Linked DNA regions of Elephas maximus indicus. The protein of the gene in region 1 interacts with the protein of each later gene in a pairwise test. Links are inferred from orthologs where the notes say so. Each region holds a gene or a part of one and is shown in the gene's direction. Other genes may lie near its edges.

Region 1 (7,481 bases):
TGATTGAACAAGGTAAGAACAGGTCAGCTCAATGGGCCAAACTGCATGTTGTCTTCCTAGCAGTGATGGAAGAATTCTGCAATGGTGAGAGCACATATATTTGGATTTTTACCGATTTCGTGGGCAGTGGCCAATGGCCTAGCTATATGGTCAGGCAAATGGGCTATGGAATATTGGACTATTAAGGGGACACCTGTGCGGGGCATGAGCCTACAGAAAGCACTCTGGGAATGTAGAGGGCACATCAGAGTAGGCTATGTCAATGTCCATCACAAAAACCCCCTTCCTGGATCAGAAGGTGACTGGAATCAGCAGGTGGAATCAGCAAGTTGGTATTCTCACTTGAAGTGGCCAATTGGGCCCATGAAATGAGCAGACATAGGGGTACTGCAGGAATGCAAGATGGGCCGAATCTAGACACATTCCCCTTGCACCCTCTGAAGCACAAAATGCTAAAATAAGGACTGCTCTGTCTGCCAGCAAGGAAGACAGAGGTTCCAGATGGCTATAGGGCAGATTCCCCGAGGAGAAGGCCCTGCACATAGCTGGCAAGTTGACTATATTCGACCAATGATGCCAGTGGCACGAAGTTGCTACAAATGGGTTCCCACAGGAATACTTACTCTGGACTGGGCTTTGGATATCCCGCGACAGATGCAAATGCCAAAAATACCATTAAGGGATTGGAGCGAAAGATACTGTACCAATTTGGGCCACCAAGTTGTATTTCTTCAGACCAAGGAACACACTTTACAGCCCACAGGGTGGAGTAACGGGCCAAGAAACATCATATTAAATGGACACACCATGTTGCATACCACTCTCACAGTAATGGTTTGATAGAGAACTGGAATGGCCAATGGAAACATTTGTTATCCAAAGGCATGAAGGGCTGGGTCACATGCCTTCATGAGTGTGTCATCATACTCAGCATGAGGGGGACAAAGGGAGAATCACCACAGGACAGACTCCTAAGCTTCTCTGGGGGATTTGGGGAAGACAGGGTGGGAGAGGATGCTGGTGCCACTGTACAGTTCTTCTTTTTTGCCTGCCGAATGTTGTGGTTCCAGGACCAGGGATGCAGCTGTGGGTGCCAAAAGCAGGGGTGATCCTTAAGCAAGAGACTGTAACTATATTCCTAAACATGTATGTCAGAATTCCCAAGGGTCTGAAGGGATGGATTATACTTTCCCCCCATCTGGCAAAATTGGGGTTGACAGTGAATATTGCTGTATTGCCTCGTGGGCAAGATAGTCCACTAGTGTTGTACCTATGTAACCTTATCCAACATAAACGGGAGTGGACTGAGGGAGAAGCACTTGCTAGATTGGTCTTGCTACCTGCAGTCTGGACTAGCACAGCAGCTGAACCTACTGTTCCTTCCCAAGGTGGAAAAGTTTGGGTAAAAATAAATGACAAATAGAAGGAAGGAGAAATAATAGCTGAAGGTAAAGGAATGAATAAATGGGTTATGCAGCAGGGGAAACCTAACACTATACTGATATCTTGAGAGAGACTCAGAGCAAGGGAATAAATAATCTTCTCTCAGTTGAATTTTATCAGAGACCAGAATGTGTGAAGACTAGATGACTTTTGGAGCACCTGACCAGAACAGATGAAAACCTGCAGCAGACCTTGATGGCTGGTACCTGAGTAAACTTACACTTTGGACTCTTTGCCCTGTTGAAGGACTAATTGTTAATGACTGTTTTGGAGAGGTAAAATGATTGGGAGGGAGAAGTTATCCTCCAAATATGAAAGAATCATGACTAGAAAAGCCAGGGGGTAGCCTGTGGTAAATTAATTACTTTTGTGTGTGGCCTTAATAGCCATGGTCTTGTAACTCCCACCCAGGTGATTGTGTGATAGGGTAATTGTGGCCTAACGAGGTGATTGGTCAGTTCTGCCTTAAAAGAGACCAAATTCTAGAACAAAGAGGAGAGCCCACCACCACTGAAGAAAGAGGGACCCGCAGGAGATGGCACAGTGGACATCCTGGCTCACAGGGCAAGAAAGCTGAGTGCCTCTGAGCAGAGACTGAAGGCCAGGGGAAAGTCTATGCCTAACCTACGAATTTGGGATTTGGCAGCCTCCAAAATCTTGTGAGCCATTTCCTCTATACGGTCTGTGAGTTCTGTCAGATGTTGCAAGAAATCAGGGAACCCAAAGACAGAGTGAGATTGCTGACCCAAGAGGGAGTAGTTCAATGTTAGAAATAATGGAGTAATACAGCAGCTTGGAAAAGTTAGACATTTGGGACATCTTTAACCTCCAACTCATAGGAACCAGCTTTGTGCTGATCCTTATAAATTATTTGTTTACCAAGATTCCTAGTCCACTATAGCTGTTGTTGGGTGTCATTGAGTCAATTCCAACTCATAGCAACCCCATGCAATAGTAGAGTTGTAAGGTTTTCTGGGCTGTAATCTCTGCAGAAATAGATTGCTAGCTCTTTCTTCTGCAGAGGTGCTGTGTGGGTTCGAACCACCAACTTTTGGCTAGCAGCTGAATGGTTAAGCATTTGTGCCACTAGGGCTCCTCCCAGTTCATTCAGCTTCTTCATATCTAACTCAGATAATGCTTTACTCCTGGAAAGACCAGAACCCTTCTAAATTTGACCATGCAGCCTTCCACTTTCTGCCAACTGGGTGAAGTGGGGAAAAGAAGTGAAAACAGGGTTTAGAAGAGGGGACCATCAATGCAATACTTGGAGAGGGAAAGGGACTTGCGTGTCACATAGCCATCATGTCATAAGTACTTTTCTCACTATTCTCAGAAAAGGAACTGACTATCGGGTGAAGCTGGAGGAATAGGTTGCAGTAGGATTTTGGACTAAGCTATCTTCTGAGCTAGATATCCTGGACTTCCTCCTACAGGCCTGCGATTCTCCAGTGGGCTCAGTGGTGCAGCTTGAATGGCCTTGTGTTCCTTGCAGAACACCAAAGAATGACATATACAATAAAAAATACTGTAAATATACAATTTGTGCTAAATTAGATCATCTGATACGGTATTCTAGGGTAGATGGACACACAGGTGCCAAAAGGAGGAAAATTTTGACAAGAGGCATTGAAAAGTGAGAAAATTCTTCCTACTAATTTAACGTTCTTTTGTGAATTGTAAGTGGCCAACACTACTGGCTTTAATCATGAACTGCGGAGCTCACAGAGAGAGAGAAAAGAAAAGAAAAAAAAAAAAAAAAAAAAAAGGCAATAGTCCTGGAGCACTACTGACAGCAATGGGGAGCCATGCAAAGCTTTCAGGCAGCATAGAGGTTGTTGGATTTGGAAACTGAATACAGTCTTAAGGTTTCAAAAATATGGTATGTGCTCCTTTTAAACAAATCAGACAACATGAAAATAAGAATTACTTGAAATCTGATACCCTTTCCTCCAACAAAGGGAGCCTCCAGTAAAATCTCTCTGTGCTTATAGAATATTGTTTTAGACTTCACATAAATTGGACCATCCGAAACATGCTACTCTGTAATCAATTTTTTCCTCAAGGATAAATTGTGGATAACCTTTCATGCCAATAAACAGATATTATCATTTTTAATGGCTACTTAGTACTGCCTTGTAGGTATATATCATAATTTATTTAACCAGCTCCCTGTTGATGGACATTTACCTTCCTCCCCTCTATAATCCACAACCTCATAGAACAATTTTGTGCATTCATCTTTTCCAAATTGTTTCAATTTTTTTTTGTGGTACAATATACTTAACATTTACCATTTTAACCATTTTTTAAATGTACAATTTAGTGGCTCGATGACAATTTTAAGGTAAATTCTTAGATGTAATGGAACTGGGTCAAGAAGTATGCCCTTTTTACTTTTGTATTCAAATTGCCAAACCGTCGTCAGATTTGCAGGGAGATCAGTGAGGAAGCTGCTGCATTTGTTCTGCTGTGAGACAGTGGAAACAGAGATGGCAAGTACAGACTCACAGGTGATTTAGCCCACTTAGACCTGTCCTCGGTGGGTTGGCACGGTCCTTCCCTTTTTCCTCTTTCACTTCTTGCTCTTAACATGGAGGAAGAACTAAGAACTGCATCTCCCAGCATTTCGCAGTGACCACACTCCTCGGGAACTGTAGTTGTACAGGGTCTGAGACTGGTACGGAAAGCGGGCCGGAGGGCGTGAGAACGCTGGGAAATGTAGTCCGGCGAGAGGCTTTTTTGTGTGTGTGTGTGTGTGTTGGGAGGCGTGTGGAGACGCCAGGAGCCTCGCCACTTGGCGATGGGGCTGCGGACACCCTGACTTCCCTCACATGTGGTCTTTGAGTCTACAATAGCCACACGCGGATGGTTGACTTTATTCCATTGTTCCGGACCGGGAAAACACAGTGCCTCCTCACTTCGTGCGCGGGGGTAGGTGCAGGTGAAGCAGGGCATGCCGGGAGTTGTGGTCCTGGCACACTGAGGCGGTGGGACGTGTCGTGGCGCCGCGCCGGCTCCTCCTTCCCCACCCTTCTCAGCGGTCCTCCGCCCCCTCCTCTTTCGCCTGCATCCGAGCGTCCCCTCCCCCAACCCGTCGGTCTCCTCCGCCGCTACTGCAGAGGATTCAGAGCCGAGTTGCTGAAGAGGAGGAGGCTCCCAGTCCCTGCGCGCCATCGGCCACCCCACAGACGGGCGAGGGAGTGAGAGCGTCACCGCTGCAGCCGCCAGAGAAGACAAGGGTATCGCCGCTTCAGCAGCCGCCGTTTTCGCTTGCAGTCTCTCGCCGGTGAGGAAATCCTCCACTCCCCCCCCCACCTGGTCCGCTTGTCCTGAGTCTGGGCTGGTGTGTTACTGGGGATAATGAGAGTGGGGGCTGCGGAGCCCCTGGGTGGGTTTGGGGGAGGGAGCTAAGGTCGCTGTGGAACGGCAGGCTGGAGGGGGAGACTTGCCCAGGCGCGGGCTGGGGGTGGGGTGAGGGTGGGACCCAAGCAGGTTGGGGGGCGACAAGGGAAGGGAGACTTTTAATGGGGAATGACCAGAACTAGGACAGGAGTGTGGAGTGGGGGGTCAAGGTGGAATTTGGGATGGTCTCGGGGGCGAGATGGAAGATAAGACTGGAGTGGGTTGGCTTTTAATGGGGGAGGGGACTGAATGAGGGTGGTGGATTTGGGGTTGGCCTGGAACAGTTGACAGCTTGGGATCTGAGCTGGGGTAGGAGATAGGGGGATGCTTTCAATGGAGAGTGGGATGTACAGGGTTGGGATAGGACCCTGGTGGGGGGGTGTTGATTCCGGAGGGTGGAATTTGGGATGGACCCGGGGCAGGCTGATGGAGATGGTAGGAGCTGGGGATGAGGGGTTTGGCATGGATTGGGACCTAAGCCTTAAGTGGGTGTTTGTTATCTGGGGTATGTGGAATTTATGGAGCCTTTTTTTTTTTCTTATGGAATAGCAGAGGTTGGGATAGAGCAGAGGGGGTGGAATTTGGGGTTTTCCCGGGATGGGCTGATGAGGGTGAAATAGGGGGTGGGACTTCCAATGAGGGGAGTATGATGGTGAGCTCGCGGGGGGGGGGGGCAGGGAGGAGGGGGGGAGTTGGAGTTAGGCCCGAAGTGGGCTGACAAGGATTGAAACTGAGAGGGGGGAGCACAGTAGAATGGAATTTAGGGTGATTTTAGAATCGCTGGCAGAGGCATGATGGCTCCCTAGGTGCAGGGTTGAGGCAGAGGGCACAGAAGAAGCTGCTGGGCTGGACTCACTGAAAGAATAGTGGCAGGTGGTGAACAGGGTTGGGGGATGGTATGTTGAAGAAGACATCCTTTGGTCAAGGTGTCAGAGGGAGTTTTGAAGAAGGAATGTCTGAGACAAGCTGGTAAGACCGGAGAGGTGGCTAATGATAGTGAAGTGGCAGAGGGGAAATTTAAGGAGTGTCCATCAGATTTAGGGGGTGGGAGACCAGGAGTTGTAGGGATGGAGGACGCAGTGAGCAGTGCTGGGATGAGGTGGGTTGGGTGATTCTGGAGGGGGAGGGATTGAGGTGGCCTCCAAGAGACACAAGAGGGTTAGGGGTTGGAACACTTAAATGGATAGCTCTTGTGGCTGTGACTGGAGGAGGGACAGTAATCAGAGGGTTGTTAAGAGGGGACTTGGCAGGGGACAGAAAAGGTATTTTAAAGACTATCTTTCCTAGAGGATGTCTTAAGCTGTTTGATTTTTTTGTTTGTTTTGTTTACATCAGTATCACACTTAGAAGTGAAGTCAACCCAGAGGCCAGTAAAGTTAATAAAGATTTCAGTTAGGGTAGAATTAAGGAAGGGAAGGCATCTTCTTTCTGTTATTTATATATCATAAAAAGAAAGTTGGGAAAATCCACGCCCAAACTGAAGATGGGAGAAGATAAAAATGGAATGTGGTAGATATCTTTCTGTATGATGTCTCCGCCTTTGCCTTTCCCTGGTGCACTTAAAAACTAGTCCTGGAGTTTGGAATTTAAATAGGTTTGATGAGATTGAGATCGTTAAGGGAGTGTTCTTTGCTTGAGAACTGATGAATGAGACTGAAAAATATGAGGCCAGATTTATTTCCTAGGCAGGCAATGTCTGTGCAAGTATGCAGAAAGAGCTTGGGCCTTCCCCCCCCACCCCCCACCCCTTGAAATTGATTGCTTGAAGACTCCATTTATTGGTGTCCTGGTTTGCAAGGCAATTAGGCCCATCATTGTATTGCAGGCTAATAATCTTGAGATGAGTCTTGGCACCACTGCTTTATGTAAACAGAGAGAAGACAGGAAGTATGGAAATGTCATAAATATTCATTGGTGGGATGGTTTGGTACTGATGGAGTTTTTCATTTGATTCTCTTTTGATGTTACTTGATAAGATTAAAAATAACTGGACTGTATTTCTGTAGATTGGATTTTCTCCTAAAGGATTTTAGGTGATTAGAAACCTGTCAGATGTAGATAAATAAGCGTGTCGAGTCATTTTTATCTTACGTTTTAGGGGATGGTGTTGATATGGGCACATTGCATTAACCACAGAAACATTATCTATTCATCAGAAATTTGTTTTAAAGCTTAGCGATATGTTTATTCTCTTGGCAGAATGGTGAAGATGGAAGGTAGAGAGGGGTGTGAATGGAGGAAACATCTTTAGGGAAATAGTTTTTTGGACTTAATTGCATTAACTGTGATATGTTAAGCCTGAAGTGGCTGTTGATTAGAGTTGGGCTGAGAAAAAACGGGGAGAGGTGTAAAGAGGATAAAATTGGCACCAATAGGATCAAAATAATTTTGTCTTTGTTCAAGCTTCAGATTTTAGCTAGCAAACAGATTATTTCCATGGCTTTCACAGTTGATCACACAAAGATATCCAATATTCAGAATCTGTTTTTTTTTTGTTGTAGTTCCTAAATGGGCAGAATGATGGAAGGTTGGACTTACCCTTGGAATTGAAAGTGTTTTGTTATGAGGAAGCTTTCTGTAATACAATGAAAATCAAGTTTGAGCTGTTACCTGTAATTCAGTGAGAGTGTAACCTA
Region 2 (7,318 bases), on another chromosome or scaffold:
TTGTCATCCAAAGCACAGATCTTCCGCACCGTTCTCTCATCCTGCAGTTTGGCCACAGATTTCTTTTCCACTCCAAGAACAACAATTTCTCTTCCTCGTACGCCAACCTTCAATAAAAATCAACAAACCGCTTAATACAGTGACTGAGGTTCTGCCACCAGGCGAAGCAGCAGCCCTCACCTCACCAGGTGTGCCAGGCACAGCCTGCCCTCCTCCATGTGCCCGCCACTACAGTCAGCAACACACCCTGCCAACCCTGGGTATCGGCTCTTTATTGGCAGAACTAGCTGAAAGTGAAGAGGACTTGAAGCCCTTACTGATGAGGAGCAGAAGGTACAGCCTTCCGGATGGATTACACTTTAACACAAAGAAGACAAAAATCCTCACAACTGGACCAGTAAGAAACATCACAATAAAGGGGGAAAAGACTGAAGTTGTCAAGGATTTTATTTTACTTGGATCCACAATCAACACCCATGGAAGCAGCAGTCAGGAAATCAAAAGACGCATTGTATTGGGCAAATCGGATGCAAAGACCTCTTCAAAGTGTTAAAAATCAAAGAGGTCACTTTGAGGACTAAGGTGCGCCTGATCCAAGTCATGGTGTTTTCAATCGCCTCATACGGATCCAAAAGCTGGACAATGAATAAGGAAGACGGAAGAAGAACTGATGCCCTTGAATTATGGTGTTGGCAAAGAATAACGAATATACCGTGGACTGCCAGGAGGCAGAACAGATCTGTCTTAGAGAAAGTACAGCCAGAGTGCTCCTCGGAAGCGAGGATGGCAAGAGTTCATTTCACTTACATTGGACATATTATCAGAAAGGACCAGCCCCTGGACAGGGACATCGTGTTTGGTAAAGTAGAGATCAGTGAGAAAGAGGATGACTCTCAATGAGATGGACTGACTCAGTGGCTGCAACAGTGAGCTCAAACAAAGCAGTGATCGCAAGGATGTCGGAGGACCGAGTAGTGTTTTGTTCTGTTGCACATGGGGTCGCTATGAGTCAGGATGGACTCGACAGCACCTAAACAGAGGTTATCCAGGTACTCTAACCTAAAATGCCCGACGCCATGCTTTTAAAATACTGAGAGTTCAATCATAACGTAACTAAATTACTATATAATTAGCATATGCGTTATTTAAATCTAATGAGTTAAACAGTTGCCCTTAATGTCGTTGGGTGCCATCAAGTCAATTCTGACTTATAGTGACCCCATGAGACAGAGTAGACTTGCCCCATAGTTTCCTAGGCTGTGATCTTTACAGGAGCAGATTGCCAGATCTCTCTCCTGTGCAACCGCTGGTGGGTTCAAGCCACTACCTCTTGGATAGCCGCTGAGCGTTTAACCATCATACCACAAGTGCTCCTTAACAGTGAAGTTAGGTATTCTGAAACGAACGTTTCTAAGTTGTGAAATTACGAACAACCCATTGTGCCTGTCCCAGCAGTGCCGTGTGCTAATGCACCTGGCTGTGTGAGGACTTGCCATTGGGGACAAAGGTGTCAGCTGTTGTTGGGAGGGTAGACAGGAGATGATGTGGCCATTGTTCCAAAGAGAGAACCTCAGTTCCGTCCCCACTGAGACAGAAGCAAACACAACGGGACAACTCTCAGAGAGATAACAGCCCTGGTTATTTCTGAGCGGAGCCTCCCAACACCCAGCACTGCTGACGCTCTGGCTAGATGACTCTGTGGGCAGCTGTGCGGGCACTGTAGGGAGATTAGCAGCACCCCTGGCCTCTACCCACTGGATGATAGTACCCCTCCACCTCCTTAAAAATTTAGATACCAAAAATGTGTCTTAAAATTGCCAAATGCCTCCGGAGGAAAAAGTGCCCCCAGTTCAGAACTACCTGACCACTCCCAGAGAAATGGACTGGTTTGCAGGAGCTAAGCCAACAGGTAAGATTTGGGGCCTTCATTTCTAAACAGCTAAAACTTCAAGAAATGAAAAGGAAACGCATAGCACCGCACGGGTTGCCTCTGCTCTGCAGCTCCAACCTCCCCAGTGCTGGGCTTGAAGTGAAAAACTGGCAGAGAATTTGCAGTGACAAACGGACGGCAGCGTCACGTGCTGTCTCTAAGCTCCCTGCACATCAAAACGGCCCTGTGTGGTGTGAGCTGAGGCCCAGCGTGGTGTAAGCTGAGGCGCGGGCTGACTCAGATTGGGTCGGGCTTCTGTGGCCTAATGGTCAGATCCAGGGACGCACCTGCCCAGGCCCTGCATTGCTGACACTGGGAGCCAGCAGCTTTTTGTTCTCCAAGCCCACCAGGTCCTTTGGAGACAACTCATTTCCCTAGTGGAGGAGACCCCCATAACTCGGAGCTGGCTGAGTATCGTTGCTCCAGCGCACCAAGGAAGCCTGCAGGAGCCAGCCCTGAGAGCCCATCTGCGCCCCTGCAGTGCGTGGGCCAGCCACACCCCCGCCGCAGTCCCGCCCAGTGCAATGGTGACCACGCCAAGATGGCCGTCACACTGCCAGCATCGCGCGGGGCTCAGGGGGGCACTCCGCTGCAATGAAAGATAAGCAACCCTCCTTAAGTTTCCACCCCCTTCCCGGAACTCCGCTGTTTGTGAAAACGCCTGTCAAAAACCGTGGGCAAACATCTGCCGATATTTCTTTCAGTTACCAACGCTGTACGTCCCCGGCCTACTCAACCTCTGAGAAATAAACAAGCCGCTCAGTCCTGGCTCGCTCTCCACCCAAACAGCAGAAAGCCACTGACACCGCAGGCCCAAGGCCTCAAATCACAAACGCGGTTCCTCCTCCGTTTTCCTTTCGAACAGCGGCGTCGTTGCTTCCGTGCGCTCCACTCCTACCACTAAAACAACCTAAAACCAAACCCACTGCTCTCGAGTCGATTCCGACTCATAGCGACTCTATAGGACAGAGTAGAACTGCCCCATTGAGTTTCCAAGGAGCACCTGGTGGACTTGAACTGCCGACCTTTTGGTTAGCAGCCGTAGCAATTAACCACTACGCCACTATGCTCAGTTAAAACAGCGAGCCCACCACACACGCCCCCGAATACAAAGAGGGATCAGCACAGCGGCTCGACCAAAGCAGGGCAGCGAAGGCAGAGCTGCCGCGCCGCGCCAAGGTTTAAGGCGCGTACCGGGGAAAGCGCCGCCGCCCGCACGAGAACGCGCCGCTTCCCGAGCCCCCAGCACCCGCCGCCGCGCCCCGGACCACCGCACCCGCCGCGCCTGCCTCCAGGACGCAGGCAGCGGGACACACGGCAGCTTCCCGAGCACCACCCTTCCGGGACCCCGGCACAGCCCGAAGCGCAGCCCTCCCCGGGAATCCTCCCTGCGCTCCCCCGTAGGCTTCCTGGGATCCCCCAGCCCCATCCCGGCGGGCTCCGGGCGCGCACGCCCCGGGAAATTCCCGGCCCACGGCTCGGCCCACTGACCCTCCCCGCGGGTTTCGGGGCGCACACCTGCCGTCGACCCCGGCCCAGGGCGCGGCCCTGCTCGTTCTCCCTTCGGGGTCCGGGGCACGCACCCTCCGCGAAAACCGCCAGGAGCCCCGGCCCCCGCGCGGCCCACTTCCGCCTCGATCCCCGGGCTCGCGCAGGCCTCGACCCGGCCGGTCTTACCGCGGTGGAGCCCTTCTTTACGGCCTCCTGTGCGTACTCCACTTGGAAGAGGTGGCCGTCGGGCGAGAAGACGGTGATAGCGCGGTCGTAGCTCATGGCCGGGCCTGGCACGGCCTGCTCCGGAGACTGCCCGCTGCGCCCCAGCAGGTAGGGGAGACCGCCCGCGCGCGTCCTCAAAAGCGCACACTCATGCGCCGCTGCGGCCGACGCACCACGCCGGGCTACGGCCTACGCTGCCGACGCATGGCTACGCCGCCGACGGAAGCCTACGACTGCGCTGCTCGGCTGACCCGCCGACGGAGGCTTACGGCGCCATCGCACGGCTACGCTGCCGACGGAGGCCTACGCTGCTGGCGTAAGGCGTGGGAGGGCGTCCGGAGCGCACCACGGCGGGCGCGGGGGAGCGCGGCGAGAGCGGCGACGGCGGGTGCGGCGCGCGGGACAGGCGGCGGAGCGCACGGCGCGGGGCGCTGAGATAGGATCGGCGGCGCGCGGGGCGGTGGACGGGCAGGCCGGGGTACGAGGCGGAGGCGGCGGCCCGGGCGAGCCCACCGCGCGGCGCCCCCCGCCCGCCCCGCCCCCACCGCTGCGGAGACAGAGCGTCCTCGGACGCCGCGCGCGGCCAGAGAATAAGCCCCATGAGCCAGGGCTGAACCTCTGCCACCATGTCCGTGGCCTTCGCGTCCGCCCGACCGAGAGGCAAAGGCGAGGTCACGCAGCAGACCATCCAGAAGGTGGGCCGCGGGCCGGGGCGGGCGCGGGGGGCGCAGGGCCGGAACAAAGCGCGGGCGCTGCCGCACCGAGGCCGCCCCCCGCGCCCCTCGCAACGCTCTCGGGTGCGACCGCCGAGGCGCGCCGCCTGCGCCAACTTTGTGGGGGGCGCGCCGGCCCGGGTGGGTGCGGGGGTGCCCGGTTCCCCAGGACGCAGCCGGTGTCCGCGGTGCTTGCCGGAGCCAGCCCGGGTCATGCCGGGGACAGGGTGCCGGGGACAGGGTGCCGCCGCCCGCGGGGCTGGGGACAGGGTGTCTCGGGGCCGGGCAGGAGCAGGGCTGATCGCGCTCGGTTGCAACCTGGGTGGCGAAGCGGCGGCGGCCACTTGCTTCTGCTCGCACGTTGGCGAGTGGAGAGGGGCCGGGTGGGCCTGGGGTGCATGGCTGGGGCGGCACGCAGCCTTTTCACAAAGGTGCTGACGCTTGGAGCCAGGAAGGGTCGGAGCAAAGTGTGGGGATCTCGTCCCCGAAGCCCCGCGCGTGAAGTCCACTTGCTCACCAGTGCGCCACCACCTCGTACTCGCATGTAACATTCTTTTTAGCGTGACACCCTGGCCTGCTTTTTCAGCTAACAGAAACTTTGTAGATTTGCCTCACAGCGTTCCTTCTCGTTTTACAAGCTTGGCACTGCAGTTTTCTAGGGATATCATTGATCTAGGCTTAGGAACGTGTTTAACAAATGCTTTTTAGACAAAAGCCTGTAGTTTTGAAAGGGAGACTTGGGATGTCTTATTGTTTCTTATTAGAAGACTCGCTCAGAAGGGAATCCGAGGCAGGCATTCCGCTTTAATCTCCACAACGTCATTTGTAGCTACATCGTTTTCTTTTCTGAACTTTTGATTCCGTTATCATTCTTCCTGCGGGTTCCCAGGAGCGTCCAATTTTCCTTCGGGGTGCACTTTGCTGACTGTGCCCTGTGTTCTTTGGTAATCTGCTGGGTCCTCGTGGAGGTGGCCCTCAGTCTGTGACTTGTCGTCGTATAAACGTTACTACATTAGCTGGCGTTAGGTGTTCAATGATTTTAACAAACAAGGAGCCTCAGCAGATTGAGAAGCAGTAGAAATGCAGATCTCAGAGTGTGGCGTTTTAATTGTGTAATAAACATTACTGTAGTGCTTATTGCGTACCAGCCAGGTTCTAACAGTTGTCCAAGTCTTTATTCGTTCTGTTCTTCCAGGTGCTTACTATCTCTTCTGCTTTATAGGTAAGGAAGCTGAGGCATAGAGAGGTTAAGTGCCTGCCTGGTAAGTTGTAGAGCTGGGAGTCGAACCCACACAGTGGAGCTCCAGGGCCCTCTCCAACCATGACACTGACCTTGGGACACTTGGCTAGGCAGAGGGCTGGGCATGTTTTGGCAGTTGAGAGGGGCTCCTGGCACCCTGGTTTTGGGGAGCTTATCTCTGATAAGCACAATCGTCATTCCATCTTTGGCTTCCTGCCCCCCAACTTCTCCAGGCAAGCATGTGTGTTAGTGCGGCCACCCCCAAACACAGTGGTCAGAAAGAGGAGAGCCTACCTTCAGACCCTCAAAAATGGGCTGGCAGCTGGCTTGACCTGTCCAGTCGGCAGTCCACATCCTCCTGCCTGTGCGTTTTGACAGTGAGTCCGTGCCCCCAGAGCTGTTTTACTGGGTTGCCTGGGGGGGTGTGACAGTCTGTGCCTTGCATTCAGAGTGTGGTGTTTGCAATGTGTGGTCGTAGGTATGCGTTGGGGGCGTTGAGGAAAACCAAGGGTGGTGGCGAAGAAGCAGGAGGTGTACGCCTTGTTCTCAGAGCGTATCTGTCGGTGGGATTCTGTTAGGCAAAGTCCTATGCCACCTTCAAGGCCCTACTCAGATGCCTTCTCTCTCTTTGGTTGGCATATGGCCAATATAGCAGTTTGACCCATAGCTTGAGCTCCTGGGCTACTTTCTGTTTGCAGTCTCCTGAGCTCCTGGGCAGGGTGAGGGCTCAGGACATACTAAGGGTGGATGACACTGGCTTTGTCAGTGGGAGTGCTTTTGTTAAGTGGGTGTGTGCGTTTTGGGGGTGTTCGAGACAAGAAACAAATGAAAAGAGGGTCTAGAAGTTTGAGGGAGTCATGGGTCGTCTCATGCAGGGACTGCGTGGAGCAGTCCAGAAAGGCAGGAAAGGCTGGCCTGCCCTGGGGACCTGGGCCCCGTGCTGAGGACATGGTGCAGGGGGAGAAGCAATCAGAAAGTGCTTGGGTGAGAACTGCTGAGCTCGGGGTGCCACTTTGGTGGGCCTTAGCAAATCCAGCAGCCCCTGCACTCAGCTGCCTGGCTGAGTGGCTGGGACCTGTCCTCTGCGCCTCCCCTGCGTCTTGGGACCAGTGTGTCCTGTTGACCAGCACTGCACTCTGGGGAGGGCAGCAGTGTGGCCAGGTGTGGGCATGTAGGAAAGGGCCCTGGGCACGAAGCTCCTCTGGCCTGCTTGGTGCTTCCCTGCTGCTCAGCACACAGTAGTTGCTCAATAAATGCAGCCATTGTTGTTACACTTTGTATGGCATTCTTGATTGTAGGCTGGGGATGAGGTCTTGTCCCTCTGCGTCCCAGCAGCACATGCAGGGCGAGATCGGTACACAGCCCCGGGAGGGGGGGGACGAGGTGGGGACCTGGGGCTGTTTGCCAGTGAGGAGCTGCAGGGGTGGCGCCGTCAGGCTGCCTGGGCCCCTTTCCTTCCCCAGTTTCTTTGTTCTTAAGACCAGAAAGGGTGATGCCCTACCCAGCATCCCAGAGCATGAGTGGGCCAGCCCTGCTCCAGTGTCCTGCGTGCGCAGGAGCAGGGGGTGGGGACGTGGGGAAGGGATGGCCAGCTGGGTGGCGGATGGGCCTCAGGTAAGGGATGGGCATCCAGGCAGAGGGTGGGTGCCCTGGTAAGGGATGGGCGTCCAGGCAGAGGGTGGGTACCCAGGTAAGGGATGGGTGTCTGGACAGAGGGTG
Region 3 (7,437 bases), on another chromosome or scaffold:
GCTATTGCAACTTTCTTCACATGTACAATTCAGCAACATTAATTATATTTATCATGTTGTTCAACCATCGCCATTACCCATCTCCAAATTTCACCATCACCCTTAACAGCAGCTCAGTACCTCGGAAACGTGCCTCCCCATCCCCCCACCCCGTTAACCACTAAGAAGCTTTAGTCTCTGCCTTTGTCTATTCTAGATATTTCAATATATGTGGGATCATCAATATTCTTCCTTTTGTGTCTGACTTGTTTCACTTAGCTAATGTTTCAAGGTTCGTGCACGTTGTAGCATGTATCAGATCTTCATTTCTCTTTATGGGTGAATAATCGTCCATTGTATGGATCTTCTACATTTTGTTTATCCATTCATCTGTTGATGGACACTTGGGTTGTTTTCTCCTTTTGTTGACTGTGAGTAATGCTGCGATGAATGTAGGTGTTCACAAGCCTTTCACAGGTGGAGTTGGGATGAGTGCGATGCGAAGGGAACAGAAAAACAGGACAAAGTCCCTATTTTTATAAATGCATGCATTAAGTTTTTGTTTGTTACTGGTTTATTCACAAATGGCCACATAGATTATCACCAAATCTGGCGGGTGGTTCTGGGAAGAACTGGCTGAAAATAAGACCTGGTAATATTCATAGCATTGACTGAGGAGGTTCAGGGGGCTCTCATTTTTTTTGCCTTTTGCACCAAGTGTTGTAGCACATCACTTAAAAATATTTCAAAAAGTTGATCAAAGACATTTACGCATTGACACATTGCTATCACATCTTTCACAGGATGCGGCAGGATGGGGGCTCCCCCTTTATTCCTGCAATGATTGATTCTCATTTTTCCACTTCCTGTAGTCTCCCACAAGAAATTATTCTAGGCAAAATGCTGCCATCTAGAAGATGAACAAATCTTCATCCTCCTTCAGCAAGGAGTAAAAAGTGAGAATTGTGAGAAAATTAAAAACCCAATCAGAGAGAACAACGGCCTGAGGTCCTCCTGGGAGAGGCCCAAACCCAAAAAATCCCAGTGCCCTCGCGTCGATTCTGACTCATAGCAACCCTATAGGACAGGCAGCTTTTTTAAATACAGACAAAATTGATGCCCTGGCTCAGAAAGGTGGGGTAACTTGCTCAAGGTTACAGAGCAAACAGGTGGCAGAGCCCAAGTCTGGCTGACCTTGAGGCTGGGGCTCTTTTCCTCATCAAAGCTTCTAGAACTTACCCTGCAAATACCTCTAATGGCAGAGGAGAGTGAATTCAGAACTTTAGGAGCTGGTATGCAGGCTTGACAAGGAACTCAGAATAACTTTGTGTTTCATTTGAAAGTTTTACGTAAGCAAATTTGCATTCTATTTTGTAAGACTTTGCTCTAGTGCCAAAATCATGTTTCCTTGAGTAAAATAGATAGCCCCGGAAGCTGCTCCATGTTTACACTGCACTACAGGTTCTGCCTGGCAGAGCTCCGTGGACCCCTGGGACCTTGAAGGAGACACCCAGCGCCCAGCACTTATACCCCCCCTTGCCATTTTTCATCATCTGTAAACACGGGTTCAAGTTTCAGGAAACTCTTACCGACCACTCCAAGGCCACGCTCCAAGGCCATGCTCTTCTGCGCTTTGTTCTCCAGGGTTCCAGAGAATTTCTAGGGACCACAAAACCCTAAACACTTCCAATTTTCAAGTCTTGGGGGGACAGTTGTTGGTGGGCTCATACAGGCTCTTGGCACTGCTCAGTCTACTTAGTCGAGGCCCCACTGTCTGGGATCCGGCTCTCCTACCCACCCAGCTGAGCAGGCAGGAACTTCACCATCACCCTAGGCCCTCTCTGTCCTGCCACCCCACACCCAGCCCACCAGCAAGTCCTGACCATGTCACCTCCTGCTCCTGGAAAGCATTCACTTCTCCCCATCTCCACAGTTCTCCCTAGTCCAGCCACTCTCATCTCTGACCTGCATGACGATCTGGTCTCCTGTGCCACCCAGGACTCCAAGGGGGGCTAACTCTAACTCTTATCCTTTCTGACCTTGGCCAGCAGTGACAAAGTACACTAACTGGTATGGGAACAAGTTTTCCAGACCAAGGTTCTAGGCTCTAATGTGAAGGGGTAAGGACAGTCTGGAGGACTCAGGTGGATATTCAGTGGGGCAGGCACTCTGCAAGGAAGTGAAGCGATTTACAACGTAGGAGACCTGGTCCTCTCCTAACTAGAGAGCCAGGAAGAAGCCAGATTTGTTACAGACTACATAAAGTACATTTTCCCCTGGCAGAGTGGTTAAGAGCTCGGCTGTTAACCAAAAGGTTGGCAGTTCGAATCCACCAGCCACTCCTTGGAAACCCCATGGGGCAGTTATATTCTGTCCTGTAGGGTAGCTATGAGTCAGAACGACGGCAGCTTTTTTATTCGAGCTTTGCTGAAACTCAAATGACTGAGCACATTTACAGAGATTCTAGATAAGACTGTGTTTTTGTTTTTAAAGACTTTGCTGCTAAAAATTTTTAACTGCCCAGATTGTCCAGCCTTCTCACTGAGTGAGGAACCAGAGGCCCAGAGAAGGCCTGCAGTTGCCTGGGGCCACACAGCAGGGACCATCAGAGCCCAAGGCCACTTGGGGACTCCAGTCCAGTGTTCCTTCCACAAAGCAATGACAGCAGGTTTGGAGCTGCCTTGGCCTGCGCTGGGAAGGACAGGGGGCTGAGGTCTCAGGGCTTAGTGTGGCCCAGCGCCAAGGGGCCTGGAAGCCTCAGCTCACTCGGCCTCCTCCTCCCAGAGACCTCAAAGGCCTCAGGGGCCAGACCCCAGACAAAGGCCTCCACAGCCAAGGCTCCTCACCTGCACCCCACATGAACCCCGAAGGGCCACACCTGGCTCAGTCACTCCCCCACCAGACAGCCCCACAGAACCCAAACAAGTCTGGAGGAAGCACTGGACAAGGCATCAGAAGTCCCAGGACACAACCCAGCCGGGCCACTTCCCAGCTGAGACATGCTGGGTCGGTCCTGTCACTTCTCTGAGCCTTGGCTTCCTCTGCCGCAAAAAACAAAGCAGAGACCCTCCAAAACAAGCAAGGGCATGGGAGTAGACAGCCCCTACAGTCCTGTGCACGGTTCCTTGGCAGAGCACATTCAAAACCAGCTCTGGAGTCAGGCTGCCTGGGATTGAATCCCACCTGGATGCTATGTGATCTTGGGCAAGGAGCTTAATCTGTCTGTGCCTCAGTTTCCTCATCTGTAAAACAGAGATAATAATAGACTTACCGTGGAAGTACAAATGGTTAAGTGCTCGACAACAATTCGAAGTTACCCAGAGGCACCTCAGAAGAAAGGCCTGGCGATCTGCTTCCGAAAGGCCACAGCCTTGAAAACCCCATGCAGCGGTTCCGCTTTGGACACATGGAGTTGCCGTGAGTCGGAATCAACTCAACAGCAACTAACGACAACAACCCCCAGAAACTAGCTGTGAGAATGAAGTAGGATAATACACGGTTTAACACTTAGGGCGCTCCCTGACACGTAGTAAGTGCTCAATAAAAGTTGGCTATTGTTTGGTCCGTGGTAGGTATGAGTCCACTGCTGCGGTTATCATTATTGTTTCTTGAGCCTCGGTTGGCCTCCTTTCCTCCCCTCCCCCAAGTAAATGACAAACACTTGAAGCCACAGGTGTTTGTCTACCTAAGAACCTACTCTGGTGCCTGGGGCTGGGAGTAGGGCGTGTGGAAGTGGACGACTCGGTGAACACTCAAGGGAGTATTCATGCTCGTAAAACGGGTGTACACCACGCGCTGGAGCCTCCACACGAAGCAGACCCCTCCAGAGGCCAGGGGTTGGTGAACGCATCTTTGGATGATAAACACGTTTGGAGTCTGGTAGTAATGAGCTTGTCCGCAGCCTGAGTCACCCAGACCCGGTTCACCGCCTGTGCCCCATATACATCCATACAATACCAGAACCACAAAGTCAACCAGCCGGGAAATTCATTCATTCAACAAGTTGTAATTGGATGCCTGGAAACCTACTAATTCATGAGCTGGAAGAAGGGGAGCTATTATTTAGAAGCTACACAGGGACAGGTGGTTAACTTAATGTTATTGGACACGTGTTTCCTCGTGCCTTGTCCTCTGATCTTGAGCAAACTATACTTATGTGACATTGTTTATGAATTTATGAGGGCCAGCTCATCTTTCAGAAGACCTCACTTCGCAGTTTTTGTCAAAAGTCCTTCAGCCTTTACAACCGAAGACCTGTCTTTCTAGGTTGGGCGAACTCCTTTGCTAGTTAAAAGCTTTCTGTGTGTTTAAAAGGGGGAGGGATCCTGTCAAATGAGCCATAAAGCATAGGCTGAAGAAACGTGAAGTCCCACCCACTTTCTGTGACGTCCTGAGCCCCGGTTTCTGATTGCCCGCTTCAGACGTCAATCGCGGGGCGTGTGTCTTGCTGGGACACAGTGGAGGTCTACCCTCTGGTTTGCGGGGCGGTCGGGTGTATTCTCCGCACACCCCCCCTCGCGCTCCAGGCCCTGTCGCCCGACCCAACCGTGGAGCTGGCTAGTGCCTCCGCCGCGCCCTCCCGCACCGGATCGCTCCTCGCTGGGGCGGGACCTGGCTCCTGTCACTATGGTCAGTGGTCTTGGGGGAAAAGGGGGAAGGGGGGTTGGGGAGGGGGCTCGGGGGGCGGGGTCGCCACCCGGGCGCATGTGCACTTGCGGGACTGGGTACCAGCGCGAGGCTCAGCCCCCACGTCGTCCTCGCGACGTTCGGACCCCCGGGGGTACAGAGTCCAGGCGGATGCCGGGGGACCCCGTCCTTCCTCGGACGCGCCCCGTTGTCCACTGCGGAGGCCCAGTGAAGGGGAGCCAGCCCGGCCCCGAGGACCCCCACCCTCAGCGGGTCCGTCCCGGGTGACCCCGAAGGTGTCGTTCTCATAGCACAAGGTAGGCGCCTCGGCGGAGCGGGGGCAGGGGACTCCAGGGCTAGGGATCGCCTCCTCTTCTGTATGTAGTCCCCCATCCGACAGCCCACGACCCCACACACCCCATGGCTCAGCCGCCAGAACCCCTCCCAGGCCCGCCCCCCCGAGGGTGGACCTAGGGCTTGCACTGGTGGCCGGCTTGCCTGTTCCCTGAGCGGCTGCACATTCGCTGGGGGTTGGGGCCCACGTGGAGAGGCTGCCTCAAGTTTTGAGACACTGAGTTAGGGTTCCAGGTGAAGCAAAGACTAGACTCAGATCCCGTTGGAGCACAAAGGACCCCAGAGACCCTCTGAGCCAGGCCCAAAAGTGGAAAAGTGGGAAAACTGAGGCCCAGGTGGGGAATGGGCTAGCACTGACTGCGATGGACCTAGAACTAAACCCAAGCCTCTGGACTCCCAGTCCAGTGTTCTCTGTGTTACATCAGGCCACTTGCCAGGTTGCAGGGGACTGGATAAGTTGGTCCCTAAAACCCTCCAACCCTGAGCCCCTCTGCTCCAGGGAACCTATACAGTACAAGGGCAGACAGCCTGGACTGGGGTCACACAGCCTGAGGTTCAAAGCTCGCCTCCACCCCTTAGTAACTGAGAGGCTTTGGTCAGCCATCTCCCTGCCCAGTGCTGTTTGGACCATCTGGATAATGGGCCGCTGGAGGACCACATGATGTGTGTGGCACGCTTGGCCCCAGGTAATTAGCTACATTCGGCTTTTCACAGGGCAGTTCTACTCTGTCCTATAGGGTCGCAGTGGTTTGGTGGGTTTCCTGTGCCAACAAAGTCCTGGAAATGAGTGTTCACAGGCACCTGGGTCACAGCCTGGTCATGACTTGCCATGTTCTGGTTGTGGCGTGGACAGGTGGCTGCCCTGGACAAACCAGCCTGCCACTGGGGAGGTACCAGCTTCCTACTTCCATACTGTGCCAAAGGGGTCACCTGGCTCTGCTGCTCCTGGAAGGGGACCCAGGTGTTTTCACCTCATCCACAGGAAGTGCTGGGAAGTGGACTAATGATGGGTTTGGCCACCCAGGATCTGAAGGCTGGCTGCCACCGAGGAACTCTCATGAGAGCGTGACAGGGACAATAGGAGCTGGGACCCCACCTTCTGCCTTGTGTGCTGCACAGCAAGGCCTCTGACACCACTCTGCCCACCTGGCCTAACTCAGGAGACTGGAAGTCAGAGGGCAGGTGGGGTCAAAGGCACAGCAGGGACACCTAATCCAGCTCCCCCCGCCGCCCCATCAGTGGAGGCTTGGGCTCCTCGGAGGTGGATAAAGTGGCTACCCGTTCAACAGCACAGCAGTCTCGGATCACGTGGGGTGGAGGCTGTGTTGGCCTGTTTGTGTCTACCCACGAAGCATTTATTGAGCATCTGCTGTGTACCAGGCACCATGCTGGGGCTGTGTGGCGGTCTTTTGTGTATGAGTCCACGTGGTATGGATGGGATGGAGTGTGCGTGTGTGATGGGCAGAGGAGTTTAACAAAATGTCTTTGGAAAATATAGCATCTTCTTTCCTTTCCCACTTCAAAGTCCCTTGGCTAAGCTTGAGGCAAGGTGCCAGTCAGAAGACACAAAGCCCCTTGGGAGGGCAGAAGAAGGGTGAGTGAGGGCCAGGCCTGGGGCTGTCACTGGCAGGGGCTGTAGACAGTGAGGGGTCTTGTCCTTGCGCAGGGTGCAGGTAATGCTTGTTGAATGAATAAGTGAGTATCAGGCATGGACAGCCAAACCACAGGTCCTCCTTTCATGTCTCAGACAAGCCCCTTGTAGGCACCCTCAAAGGCTGGGGCCCTGCCCTCTCTAGGACCTCGTTGTCTGGACAGACACACAGCAGCCCCTGACTATTGATCATGAACGAAGAGGCCTGACCAAGGGCTTTGGGAGCGCAGCAGGAAGCCAGTAGGAAGTGTTGGAGAAGGCTTCATGAGGAGGACTTTTGAGCTGGGCATTGAAGGATGTATAGGAGTGTGTAAGATGGATTTGGGGAAGACTGCACCCCAGCTCCGGACAGTATGCTTAAAGACCTGGAAACATGGTCAAGAGTGGGATATTCTGGGAAAGGCCAGCAGCCTGTGTGGATGCAGGGAGGGAGGGAAGAGGAATCTAGAAAAATATTAGGTGGGGTCAGAATGTGCCACACTGTGGAGTTTGGGTTTTATTCTGAAGATAAGGAGAATCATTAGAGATGTTTGATAAGTAAGAGACGGTTGACTTGGAAGACCTCTCTGGCAATGGACGTGGGGTTGGAGGTGGCCAGGCGGGAGTCAGAGACCAGCTCACCCATTTGTTCACTCATTCTCTTGGTATACGTTTTTGGAGCCTCACTGTGTGCCAGGCACCAGGGATCTGGCCACAACAGACAGATACAGCAAAGCCCCTGGCCTCATGGATTGACATCTAGTGGAGGGAGACAGACAGTATGCAGGTGGGCAAGTGAACCCATGGTCCAGATAATGCTCTGAAGAAATAAAACAGGGTAAGGTGAT

Evidence for each region.
Region 2: the proteins of FAM168A (region 1) and SS18L1 interact in binary tests that used the Homo sapiens proteins (3 or more experiments, as listed by UniProt). The two-hybrid records come from large-scale screens. The link is inferred for Elephas maximus indicus from reciprocal best matches to the Homo sapiens genes FAM168A and SS18L1.
Region 3: the proteins of FAM168A (region 1) and OTUB2 interact in binary tests that used the Homo sapiens proteins (3 or more experiments, as listed by UniProt). The two-hybrid records come from large-scale screens. The link is inferred for Elephas maximus indicus from reciprocal best matches to the Homo sapiens genes FAM168A and OTUB2.

The regions. Positions count from the first base shown.
Region 1 is NC_064825.1:48,877,670-48,885,150, forward strand, and holds the start of FAM168A (protein FAM168A), read left to right. Parts: upstream 1-4,406; 5' UTR 4,407-4,729; intron 4,730-7,481.
Region 2 is NC_064843.1:5,783,250-5,790,567, reverse strand, and holds the start of SS18L1 (calcium-responsive transactivator), read left to right. Parts: upstream 1-4,216; 5' UTR 4,217-4,272; coding exon 4,273-4,341; intron 4,342-4,736; exon of another isoform or gene 4,737-5,621; intron 5,622-7,318. Other genes in the region: PSMA7 (proteasome subunit alpha type-7), read right to left, coding at 1-107, 3,608-3,703. UniProt on the Homo sapiens protein: Transcriptional activator which is required for calcium-dependent dendritic growth and branching in cortical neurons. Recruits CREB-binding protein (CREBBP) to nuclear bodies.
Region 3 is NC_064828.1:107,601,745-107,609,181, forward strand, and holds the start of OTUB2 (ubiquitin thioesterase OTUB2), read left to right. Parts: upstream 1-4,414; 5' UTR 4,415-4,605; coding exon 4,606-4,608; intron 4,609-7,437. UniProt on the Homo sapiens protein: Hydrolase that can remove conjugated ubiquitin from proteins in vitro and may therefore play an important regulatory role at the level of protein turnover by preventing degradation.